Linked DNA regions of Caenorhabditis elegans. The protein of the gene in region 4 purifies or fractionates together with the protein of the main gene of each other region. This does not show direct contact. Each region holds a gene or a part of one and is shown on either strand. Other genes may lie near its edges.

Region 1 (3,204 bases), 1.5 Mb from region 4:
TTCCAGTACCGTCCGGAGTTAGGAAATTGTTTTACAAGACTTTCGTAAAAATCTCGTTCTTGGTCAATCGGTCGTGACTGAAAAATGAACGGAATAGACGTCGATTCAATTTGTTGTCAAATGTCTACCTGATGTTCTCGGAGCAGTAAATTCCACGCGTCTACGTCGAATGGATTTGTTTCAATCCGACGCTCTGGGTTACGCATGCTCAACCCAGACATCTTCTGAAAATAAATAGCAATACTATCTTGTTCAAATCAAGGATAATTTCATAGAATGTGAAATTGTGCAAACACAGTGCATCAAATTTGACGCGCAATGCAGACCGAAAGTGGAAAATGAGGAAACTCGCCAAAACATCAGATACATTTTCTCAAATGGATAGAAGACCCTTTAAATAGCTTTTTCTGTACTATTACTCTTGTTTACTTATTACTGGAATTTCCAGATAGCATTAAAATATTTTCTTTGAAAATGAATCGAAGCCAAAACAAATGGAAAAGAATCAACAATTTATTTGTAATTAATAACAATTTAGTTGACGGTCTCGTCAGTGTGCTTTCCCTTGAGGATTCCAGTGACGCGGGAACGTCCGGCAGCCTTGCGCTCAACGAGGGCACGACGATCCTTATCGAGCTTCAGCTTGGTGATAGCGACCTGAACATAATTTGGGTTAAAGAACGAACTCGGTCACTTCAAAATATAATAAACTTTTCCTAGTCCGAATGCAACATTAAGAATCATGGAACTCACAAACCTGACAGTTGTGATGAGTCGATGTGCACCGGAACTAGTTTATACAAACCTCACCTTCGAAGGGTGGATTCCGATGTGCACAGTGGATCCGTTAGCCTTCTCGCGGGTGATCTTGTCGATGTGGATAACGAACTTCTTACGGTAGCATCTGAGGACACGTCCAGTGTTTCCCTTATGGCGTCCGCGCATAACGACGACCTCATCATCGGTTCTGAAATCAAAAATTGTTTTAAACTTATGGCTAACAAAGCGAAAATATGTTTCAGCGTCATTGCAAAAAGAGTAACATTCATTTCTCCATATTGTCCAAACCGTACGTGAAAATTTCAACGTACGGGACTACTTAATGGAAACAGTAAAGTTTTTCTATTTAAAAAAACCAACCTGATTGGAATAGCACGGATTCCGTGCTTGGTGCGGAGCTCCTTGGTGAGTGGGGCAGACATGATGCGTCTGCGCTCGTGGGATGGAGCGTTGAAGTGGGCCTTGCGGCTCTTTCCGGAATCGCTGGAGACGAACGGATTGACCTTCATTATTACCTGAAAAAATAAATATTATATTATGTAACAATAATAAAATTACGGTGGTAGAAAGTATAATTCAAATTCGAGAATAAAAAATATTCTCGAATTACAAGGAGAGCACACATGCAGGTTGAAAACTCATTAATGTTAGAGACAATTACATGCTTGAAAATAAAAAATACCGACAAAATTCCTAAAAAAATTTAGGCCAGTGAGAAAAACGTCGAGGAAAATTTAGTTTGAGGCAGCCGACTACGATTTGAGGGGAGATCGCTGCGAGACCCACCGCAGGGGAAACGGCATGCGCCTTTAATATAAGTTTAAATTTTGCAAGGAATTTATTGCGCTTTGAGGATTTTCGAATATTTATTCAAGGAAACATACTTTAATAATGAAGCCAGATATCAAAGATCGTGAATACATGTATCGGCTGATTATTGGGTAAGTTATCTCGCGCTAAACAAGCAAAACTAAAAAAGTTCATACTTTCAAAAACTTATTTCAGGCAGCTTTTCTACGATGGTCATCAACAAATTGCCGTCAACCTCGCAAATACTTTGGGATGTTCTGCTCCAGCTCCGCCGCCTTCAGATAAATTGTTCAGACTGGTCACAATTGCAAAGCAATTTGTAGAGGATCCAGATTACAAAGCCGAAGAAAAATCCTCGCCGGTAAGTTTCATTTTTTACGATTTGGTCACAAAAACGTCACAAAATGCCTGAAACTATCTAATAATTTTGTATTTTAAAGATGCAATTCGAACCCGTCTCTTCGGGCTTGGATCTCGAATACGACGCTGATGTGCAGCCAGTTTCTTCCGAGCCATCGGAGTATGAGACCATCTACTTGACGGTTCACAAAGCTCCTTGTAGAGCAGCAGCGTTCAATTCGGATGGTTCCTTAGTGGCAACAGGTTCAGCAGATTGCTCGATCAAAATTATGGATGTTGAGAGAATTCTTGCCCGCGAGAAAGAGCACAGAGAAATGAACGAAAATGGTCCAGATGCGCACCATCCGGTGATAAGAACTCTGTATGATCATGTTGATGTTAGTTTTTCGAAAAAAAAAACGTTCATAATATCTAAGTTGCATTTTTAGGACGTTAATACTGTGATCTTCCATCCAAGAGACTCAATTCTTATCTCCGGATCGAATGATAAGACTGTGAAGTTATTTGATTTCTCAAAAACTGCTGTTAAAAAGGCGATGAAAACGTTGTCGGTAAGTTCTCTGATTTGGAAGAAAACATTTCTTAGAAGTTTATAAAGCCACAATGTTGAGAATAAGTACATACAAAGTAAAAGATAAAGTTTATTTGGAAATTATTTAAAAGAATATACGAATTTCGAGAAATTCCTAAAAATTATTGATATCATAACAATATAAATAACTGAAGCATAAATATTAAAAATAAATTACAGGAAGTATACCCAGTGCGTGCACTCTCGTGTCACCCAGGTGGTGAATTTCTTCTTGTTGCAACGGATCATCCTACTGTTCGTCTCTACAACATTGAAACAGCTCAGGCATATGCTTCAGCGAATCCAGATGATCAACATACTGAATCTGTAACAGATGTTCATTATTCTGAAAATGCACGGCTCTATGTAACGGCTTCAAAGGATGGGCACGTAAAGATATGGGATGGTGTGTCAAACAGATGTGTAGAGACATTCAAAAGAGCTCACGATGGTTCATCAATCTGCTCAGCCAAATTTACAAAGAATGGAAAATACATATTAACAAGTGGAATGGATAGTATTGTGAAACTATGGGAACTGAGTACTAATCGGTGTTTGATTGTCTATACGGGAGCAGGAGCTACTGGAGCACAGGATTTTGCCACAAACGCTTCATTTAACCACAATGAAGATTACGGTTAGTTCTTAACTGTTTTCGTTAATAACGCGTCGAAGAGTGTTTC
Region 2 (2,604 bases), on a different chromosome or scaffold from region 4:
TCCAATTCATTATTCAATGCTTTCCTCTTCTCTTGTGTCTCTCTTTTATGCTCTTCAACTTCTTTATCGTACTTTTCGTGCAATTCTTCCAATCGCTTCTCTTTTTCATTTTCAACTCTCAACTTTAATTGTGCTTCGGCCCATGCCTGAAATTTGTTGTTTTTTTAGTGTTTAAAGTTATCAATTTGCAAACTTTACCTTTCTAGTTTTCACATGAGCTGGCTGTTTCGGTACATGATACGAAATTTTCAGAGCGGCAATTGTTTTCTCGAATGCAGTCTCATTACGTTCACGTAAAATACGAAGAGCTTTACGGCGTTCATTGATTACGAGCCAGATTCGATGGGTGAGCCATGTTGGCTTCTGCAATAAATGTTAGAAATATTGCCTTTTTAAAATGTTAAACTACTTTTTTGGTTTCCTGTCCAATGTCATTAACAAGAAGAGACCAATGCCGAATTAAAGCCGTTAGCCAGGCAACTGAAATTAATTTTAGATAATATTTTGTGATTATTTCTCAAACAAACTTTTCATTTCCAAACTATTTTCATCGAGAGAATGCTGCCTTACTGATTTGATAAGACTTTGTTTCCATTCTTGTGACAACTCTTTTCTCGTCGCCATTTCAACACTAAAAATCTTTTTGACAGACTCTGGAGCATTCGAAAGAACATCTAAATCTTCATATTTCGCACGAGTTTTCGATTTTTCAATACGAGGCAATCCGAATTCGGTTTTTTCGAGAATCTGCAAGAATATTGCTTATATCTATAAAACTCTTGATTATCATACCAAATTATCAGCTGCTTTCAAACCCAAATCGCGTTCACTGCCAATTTTTTCGTAGTAAAGCTTCGTAAGTGCATCGATGTAGTTTTGATCTGAAAATCACTTAATAGAGATATATATCTCGGTACTTGAATATACTCACCCAGTGGCAGTTCTCTCGCTTTTTTCTCAAAGTAATCCGGATCTTGCTTGGCTGGGTCGGTGACCTGAAAATGATATATCAAATTGTGGCTAGTTTTGTTTTTTTTTCCACCCACTTTTTGATGAACGTTGTAGAACGCTGTTCTTCCTCGTTCCAGCCGACACGATGTGTGCACAAATCTTCGAAGATTTATCATCTGAAAGTATTATAGAAAATTGAACAAAAATACCGTTCAAAACTGACTTAATATTAATTAATCTAATCATTCATGAAAATTAAAACAAAAAAAATTTCCACGGCGCCTTGGAACTCAATGAGATACGGTTTGTAAAAGTCCGCAAACACCGTGCCGCTCAACTGCGGACAGCCTCGCTGAATTAAAAAAACCAAGGATTTCTTTCTCGATTGCTTAAAGGGTCCCACCACGATTCAAATATACTACTGTCTTGATTAAAACGGGCTGCTTGTATTTTGGGGGATTTTTTTAATGAATGAGCACTCATGGGCAACATTATTCCCTTTCTATTAAGTTTCATTTAAGGAACAAATAAATTTTAATGATCTATTCAATAATTGATTCCCTCGTCTCCCAATTTTATTGCCTTATTAATTTCGAAACACATTCTCTCATTCACACTCGAAATTTTCAGCGATGGCGACCCACAAGCTGAGCTTCTTCGAAAAGTTGGCCAACACCTTTGGAGCTCTTTACCGTCATCAAGCTCAGCAGTTCCCACGCCGTCTCGCTATTCTCAAGGCTGTTGGAAAGCACGAGCTGGCTCCACCCCGGTCTGCTGACATCCCAGCTATCAAGGCGGACTGGGCTAAGCTCCAGAAGTTTATTGAGACCAAGCAATATGTCAACCTTAGTATCAAGGTAATTTGTTACACGCTGAAACAACACTCAATAAAAAATAACTTCAGGAAAGTCTCGTCTACTCGGCAGTTGCCCTCGAGGTAGTCTTTTGGTTCTTTGTCGGAGAAATGATTGGACGTCGCTACATTTTCGGGTACATTGTTCCAGCCAATTATGTCTCGAAGGATACAAAGGCTAAGGTTGCCGAAAAGAAGAGACTCGCTGCCCTCGAAGCTTAATACATCGATAAGCATATTCATTTGTGAAAATATGTGTTTTTTCTTCAACGTTTGTTAGATAAAAGAAATTAAGGCTTTATTTTTCTAGTTCAATACAAAAAATTACAATCCACTAGTTTCTTCTCCAGCCTCTCGAGTGTAATCCTTCCGATCTTCCTCAAAAGTTTCAAGTGCCTTATTTTTCACTGCATACTGTCTTTTCAGAGATCGGCCTTTGAAAACATGAGAAGTGATTGTTGGAGCAAAAATGATTTGATTCGGAGCGCTAAAAATAAAACTCGTTAGAGAAAAATCAGTTTCGAAATTCTTACTCGGTCGCATCATCCTGGCTTATTGAACTTGTAGAGAGGGTTTTATCTACAGATACTTGTTTCTTGTTGAATTCAATAGTACCGTGCAAGGTATTCATGAAAACAGCATTTCTTTCACAACTCTTCTTGTATCTCGCATTAATTGATGCCAAGGACTCGGACATGATGGTGTTTGCTGTGTTGCTAGGTGGTTCTGTTATTCCAGCATGTTTAACTTTCCCCCCAGCAGTCATTGTCTCAATCAACTTTTCAGCAGTAACCGTGTAC
Region 3 (3,139 bases), on a different chromosome or scaffold from region 4:
TTCTTACATTTTAACTATTTTCAGATGCGGTTTCTACACCCACCTGTCATTCTTTTATTACTGGTGCCCGTTTCTATGGCTATCATTCAGTGTACTCACTACAGAGTCCCACAAGGACAACCGATTCCGAAGGCTGAGCGAAACGTGAGTTCAACTGCTATTTGTATTGATAAGATTTTGCATTGCTTCAGCCAAGATGCCATTCGAAAGCAGAATATTGTGTGAAGGTCACCGGAAGCAGCGTAGGAACTAATCTTCCGTTCATTTCGGGCCGATGCGAGCATGCTGGTGAATGCAAGGACCACGGAAATGACTGCTTCACCAGAACCGACACTCAAGGAAAAGAGGAAGAAATCTGTTGCAGCTCTGGAAACTTCTCAAACCACGGATCAACCACTCCGCTTTTCACTTCTATCGCACTTTTCATCACATTGCTTATTATGTTTTGTTGAAGTCAATTTTAGTAATAAACTCGCCAAGCTATAAATTTCGAACAATTTTTTAAACAACATTTCATTAAAAACAAAACAACGTTTTACTTTTGGGCCTTCTTCAGTTTGGCGAGCTCCACTCGGACGATTCTGTTTCTCATCTGCTTGGCCTTCATGAGCTTGTATCTCTCGAAGTCGGTGAGCTTGGCTCTCTGCAAGTAAAAATGGTTAAAGTGAGCCGAAAATGCTAATTTTAATACAAAAACCAAGCTAACTTTAAAAATATCGGAAATAGTGACTTACGATAGCTCTTTGAGCGATCTTCTTGGCCCATTGAGTCTTCTGGAAGTTCTCGGTGACCTTGGCGGCATCGAAAGCTGCCTTAACTCCCTTGGTGCGTTGTCCAACACGGAGCTTGAGGACGAACTTGGTGAGCTGAAGATCCTTCAAGTTTCTGACGGTGCGAGTGACATCGGAGGATGGTCCATCGATTTGAACCTGAAAATAACAATTAGAAGCCTGTATTTATGTTTTCTTGGGGCTACGTGTTTGCTTAAAACAAACGCTCAGCTAAATTTATATCGATTATATTCGAAACAATTTCAAAAGGGAAGTTGTGATTAATCATAAATTAACAATCTAATTACTAATTGTTCAGTAAATCACTTTAACGAGCATATTTCAGTGATGATTTCACTATTTAATGATTCAGAGCTATGCTTTCCGATTTTTGCATTTTACAAACATTTCTGATCGCATTGATAATCTAAACGTTTTAAAAAGTTTAAGTAAAATTCAATAAATCTGCTATACATTTTTTTTTCTTAATTAATAAATGACTTACTCTGTTTCCGTCGATAACGTTGACGATGGCAGCAAGCTTGCCTTGGTCTTTGCCGGAGGCGATGAAGACGACGCGCCCAATTTGAACGACACGGTTGAAGACCATGTTTACTGAAAATTAAATAATAAATCAAAATTATAACGCGTACATTGAGAAGTGAAGAAACACCGAAAAAATTGACTTCACCAGCTAAAACGATATATTTTGAGCAAAAACTTATGATTTTAGTATTAATCGATAGACAAACTGGTTCTGAATTTTTCTTATATCGTTTTTATCACAGAAACAACCGAAAAATATCAAAAATTTGCTGAAAAAGAAGAAAATTTGGGAAAAAAATCGCAAAATGAGTAAGACAGCCATAGGCTACGGTGACAATTTCGTGGCGAGACCCACATGGGGCGGGACACGTGCAAGTATGCGGCGCACCCAACGCAACTGCGGCGCAGTTTATCTCATCTTTTTCATTGTAGGAAGGGGAACTTTGCTCAATTGTTTGCTCTTATGTAATTTCAGTGATTAATGTATGTATTTGTACTGAACCTGTATGAATTTCATTAAACCGGTGAATTTTCAAAAAAGTCGTGTTCATATTTTAGGAAAAAGCAACTTAGTCCAGTTTTTCGATATAAATTGCATTTTGTAAATTAATACAGGATGCATGGTAAAGTTTTATTACTGAAAACAAAATAAATAAAAACAATTCTGCGATATTCAGTAAACATAACGGGAATCAATTAATTTAACTGCATCATCTTCTGCCATTTGATTCATAGCATCGCGCAATCGGGAAATTGATGAGTCTTCAAGTTGTTCAAATTGGTCCAAAAGAATCATAGTCGGGCTTGAATCGTCTCCCGATGAGCAAATAGAAATAAGTTCCACCATGTGATCACAATTGAGTTGTTGTGCCAATCTTTGCCATTTGCACTGATCATCAAATATTTTTGCAACGCGAATTCGGGTCAAATAATCTAAATTGCAGACCGAATCACTAAGCTTCGGATTCCGATCCCATTCACTTCGACGCCTTCGTGTTCCCGACGATGTTGAGGGTCCCGGCTGTTGCTCATCTTCAGATTCAGATGTGGATATTCTCGAAACACGTGGAGCCATGGAGTCAGTTTCAGCGAGAAGAGTTTGAGCGTCTACAAAAACGGATCTAATTTCAAAAAATCTTTCAGAAAACATACCATTTAATATTTCTTCTCTAGATCTCTTCACAACTCTGTGCCGCCCACTCTCTTCACCTGGAGCCTGATCTGGATGAGATCTCCCAAATAAGGGAGATCTAGAAATAGCTAAATCATTAGGAACACCAAAAGCTTCTTTCTTGGGTAGTTCGGGTCTATCTCCATTTATAATGTTTTGAATAACACTATCTTCACTATCTGCCAAGCATATTCCTTTAGAATTTTGTCTATTCGGATCAGCTCCATTATCTAAAAGAAGGCCAATCACTGGATAGTTAACGTTTTTTACAGCCAAGCTCAATGCAGTCTCTCCAGATTCATCTTCTATATTTGTTCCTGATCCTCTCTGAAAAAATATTAAATTTAAAACAATGTTTTTCTATGTACAGTTACCTCAACCAAAAGCTGAATAGTCTCAAAATCATTCATTTCAATTGCGTGCATCAACGCATTTCTTTTCTTTTCAGTATCCAAAAAATCAATCAATGCTCCCGCTTCAATGAGCATCTCAATCAACGACAGCTTCAACCTTCTTACTGCCACGTGAATCGGTGCAAATCCCTCCGAATTCAGCTGATTCACATCAAACCGTTGACCTCTAGATGGTTCTAATATTTCTTTGAAAATTGATTCATTGTATGCATCTCCAAGATAATGTAGAGCCTGAGAAG
Region 4 (2,847 bases):
AATCCGAGAGATCGGCTAAACTGGCATTCCTGCTACTTCTTGAGCTTGCTTTTGAAATTCTCCCGTCGTTCGGTGGGCTCTCAAATGGTTCTTTAATTTCTGTCATCAACAGAGTACACAACGCCTGAAAATGTACATTTTTAAAACAATGATTGAAAATTATAAAGATATACCTGGTAAACGCCGTTCTTATAACAAATGAAAGAATTCTCGATTGCACGATGGTAGACCATTGAAGGGCCCTCAGGGTCCATTTCTTTGGTTTTTCGAATAGGGACATTCATCAACAATTTTTGATCATACTGATATTCAATTTCCTCATTTTCTAAACATCCAAAGTCTGTTGCTGATCCCTGAAATTTAAATAAATATATATCGAATAACAAATGAGAGACAAACCTGGAGCAGAAAGAGAATTATACGAGCTGATTTCAAACGAACTTCCAAATCTGCACTTTCCATTCGAGAGCAAAGGTCTTGAATAACATAATTTTTTTGGACAGCACTAAATTCTTCGAATGTCGATGGAAACTGTTCGTGCTTGCCGTCCTGTAAAAGAAAAATAACTATTTTCCTGTTGTAAAATCGCTTGCATATGATTCCTCTATATATTCCTTCCAGTTGCTGATGTTAATACCGAACTCTTCTATTTCAGAATAACTGTAAAGTTCTGCCATTTCACGAATTCCTGCATCACCGTCACCATACTCGAAATCTAGATCTTTATCAATGGCGGCAACCTGCAAAACTGTATTGTTTTTCAACTTCTTCATGAAAATTACATTATCAGAGCTTTCATGATGAATGAATCCGCCATACGCTGGAGTTATCATAGGCTGAGCTTCTTTCAGTTGCTTCAATTTCAAAACATTTGCTGATCGTCTTGCGGCCAGTGAGCTTTCGGAGTATTCAACATGTTCATCATCAGCACTTCGCCTTTCTTTGTCACCATAAACTGGAACTATTAGGAGGTTTATTTGATGATATATTCATTTTCTCACCGTCTTCTGCAAAATTAGGCCTGATTCCCATTACATTCGGCTTTCTCGTTCAGTAGAACTAAAAATGAGTATTTTATTCAATTGTCAAGCGCAAGCAAATTCCGTAAGAAACTATTATATAAAAAAACAGGAAAGCAAAAACAAAACAATATTTTTTGCAATTTGCTAAACAACACGCACTACGACACTCCGCTTTAACGTTTAGATGTGCAGGCATTTCTACCGTAGTTATTTTGCGCCTCGACTCGTTTTACGGAATTTTTTCTTTTCTTTTACCAATTTTCATGCTGGCCTACGAATTTTTTGAGCAGAAAATGGATATTTTTGTAATAAAATCAATATTATCATGTTTATCTTATTCCCCGCTGTTCTCTTACTTGGATCATTTACGAAAAACCACTTTTTGATTTTAGGACTTCGTTAAATCTCGATTTTTTGTAAAAAGTTTCAACTTACTTATTCTTCGCAATTATTCTCCAGTCTCATAAAAATTGTTAAAACAGTTATCTGAAAAATGTTCATTTGTTATTTCGTCGCTATTTCGTTTCTCCGTCCACTTTAAACTTCTTCACTAAATTAATTTTCGTTTCAGGTAAAAATGGCTGACACCGCTGTTGCTAGAAGACCATCGGCCCCAACTACTGGACGGTATGTTTTTGCTTTTTTTTTTTAATCAGTGACCGCTGGATATTTTTGAGCTCTGCTGAAAAATATTCAGACTGCAAATTCTTCATATAGTCTTTAAAAAATGTATAGTAGCATTATCCTAACTATTTCTAGTCTTATCTAATCCGCGGCATTTTTTTCCATTTTCTCGGATCAGCAATTCACAAATCAGGACATCAACAAAATAATAATAAATTAATTTTCAGTCTTTACGTCAAAGCCATCTTCACCGGATTCAAGAGAGGACTTCGCACCCAATCCGAGCACACCTCGCTTTTGAAGCTTGAGGGAGTCTTCAACAAGGAAGATGCTGGTTTCTACGCCGGAAAGCGCGTCGTCTACTTGTACAAGGCCCACAACAAGACTTTGGTATCGCACATATATTTTTCAGTTTAATTTTTTTTTCATTTTAGAAAACCGGACACACCGTCGCCACCCGTACCCGTGCTATCTGGGGAAAGATCACTCGCCCACACGGAAACGCCGGAGCCGTTAGAGCCAAGTTCCATCACAACATCCCACCAAGTGCCCTCGGAAAGAGAATCCGCGTGGTAAGATAATTCTAGTTTTATTCAATTGCACATTGATTTCTTTCAGCTTCTCTACCCATCCAACATCTAAGTGGTGATCTTCTGTTATTGTTATTGTTCGCAGTTGTAATAAACAGTTGTGACTTTGAATGTACGTTTTAAATTGTGCAAAATCACATTCTATTGAAAACATTAATTCATATAATTGTAAGTTTATTGTGAAACTTTCTCTTCTGGAAACGTATATTTTCTAAAGTTTTTATTAACAAAATTGGAGCGATTTAAGGTTTTAAGGATGAATTATAGTTTCTATTGTTAATAAGATTAATCTAATTGATGAGAAACATTCTCCGAGTGATGATATTGTCGTCTGTCTTGATAATCTGGATTGGCCTCGTTTTGTTGGGAACTCGATACGCCGCTCGTAAATGTTGTCTGAAAAAAAGAAACTAATCCTGGTTCAAAAATTCGTTCTCACCTCTGGCAAAATTGTTGTGGCACCTGATCGCAAAGAATCTAATGAAGAAAACACTGTTTTGAACATGTGACATAACGAGAAAGTTGAAATTCCCGGACCACAAGTTGGGCAGACTCTTCCAATGTACCAATACAACGCGATGAGAGCGACAAAATGAGCTACAGCAAACCAG

Evidence for each region.
Region 1: the proteins of rpl-35A (region 4) and rpl-26 fractionate together in Caenorhabditis elegans (co-fractionation; one large-scale study listed by BioGRID). This does not show direct contact.
Region 2: the proteins of rpl-35A (region 4) and asg-1 fractionate together in Caenorhabditis elegans (co-fractionation; one large-scale study listed by BioGRID). This does not show direct contact.
Region 3: the proteins of rpl-35A (region 4) and rpl-14 fractionate together in Caenorhabditis elegans (co-fractionation; one large-scale study listed by BioGRID). This does not show direct contact.

Annotation. Positions count from the first base shown.
Region 1 is NC_003280.10:8,600,878-8,604,081, reverse strand, and holds rpl-26 (Large ribosomal subunit protein uL24), read right to left. Parts: upstream 1,296-3,204; 5' UTR 1,290-1,295; coding exon 1,141-1,289; intron 1,112-1,140; exon of another isoform or gene 979-1,111; intron 968-978; coding exon 811-967; coding exon of another isoform or gene 796-810; exon of another isoform or gene 658-795; coding exon 535-657; 3' UTR 501-534; downstream 1-500. Other genes in the region: suf-1 (Suppressor of forked domain-containing protein), read right to left, coding at 1-77, 129-221; cpf-1 (Cleavage stimulation factor 50 kDa subunit), read left to right, coding at 1,672-1,721, 1,786-1,951, 2,031-2,327, 2,379-2,501, 2,702-3,158.
Region 2 is NC_003279.8:8,691,365-8,693,968, forward strand, and holds asg-1 (putative ATP synthase subunit g 1, mitochondrial), read left to right. Parts: upstream 1-1,581; 5' UTR 1,582-1,583; coding exon 1,584-1,808; intron 1,809-1,855; coding exon 1,856-2,026; 3' UTR 2,027-2,104; downstream 2,105-2,604. Other genes in the region: mrps-15 (Small ribosomal subunit protein uS15m), read right to left, coding at 1-146, 199-363, 410-480, 528-747, 793-881, 932-995, 1,047-1,127; K07A12.5 (Pre-mRNA-splicing factor SYF2), read right to left, coding at 2,129-2,291, 2,338-2,604. UniProt on the Caenorhabditis elegans protein: Mitochondrial membrane ATP synthase (F(1)F(0) ATP synthase or Complex V) produces ATP from ADP in the presence of a proton gradient across the membrane which is generated by electron transport complexes of the respiratory chain.
Region 3 is NC_003279.8:9,687,443-9,690,581, reverse strand, and holds rpl-14 (Large ribosomal subunit protein eL14), read right to left. Parts: upstream 1,386-3,139; 5' UTR 1,381-1,385; coding exon 1,276-1,380; intron 930-1,275; coding exon 735-929; intron 644-734; coding exon 536-643; 3' UTR 501-535; downstream 1-500. Other genes in the region: nssp-7 (Activin_recp domain-containing protein), read left to right, coding at 25-144, 192-452; ikb-1 (Death domain-containing protein), read right to left, coding at 1,990-2,423, 2,469-2,814, 2,862-3,131.
Region 4 is NC_003280.10:7,103,970-7,106,816, forward strand, and holds rpl-35A (Large ribosomal subunit protein eL33), read left to right. Parts: upstream 1-1,593; 5' UTR 1,594-1,599; coding exon 1,600-1,649; intron 1,650-1,873; coding exon 1,874-2,036; intron 2,037-2,080; coding exon 2,081-2,218; intron 2,219-2,264; coding exon 2,265-2,288; 3' UTR 2,289-2,347; downstream 2,348-2,847. Other genes in the region: farl-11 (DUF3402 domain-containing protein), read right to left, coding at 1-124, 174-353, 400-549, 594-740, 783-961, 1,002-1,032; F10E7.9 (Amino acid permease/ SLC12A domain-containing protein), read right to left, coding at 2,522-2,632, 2,676-2,847.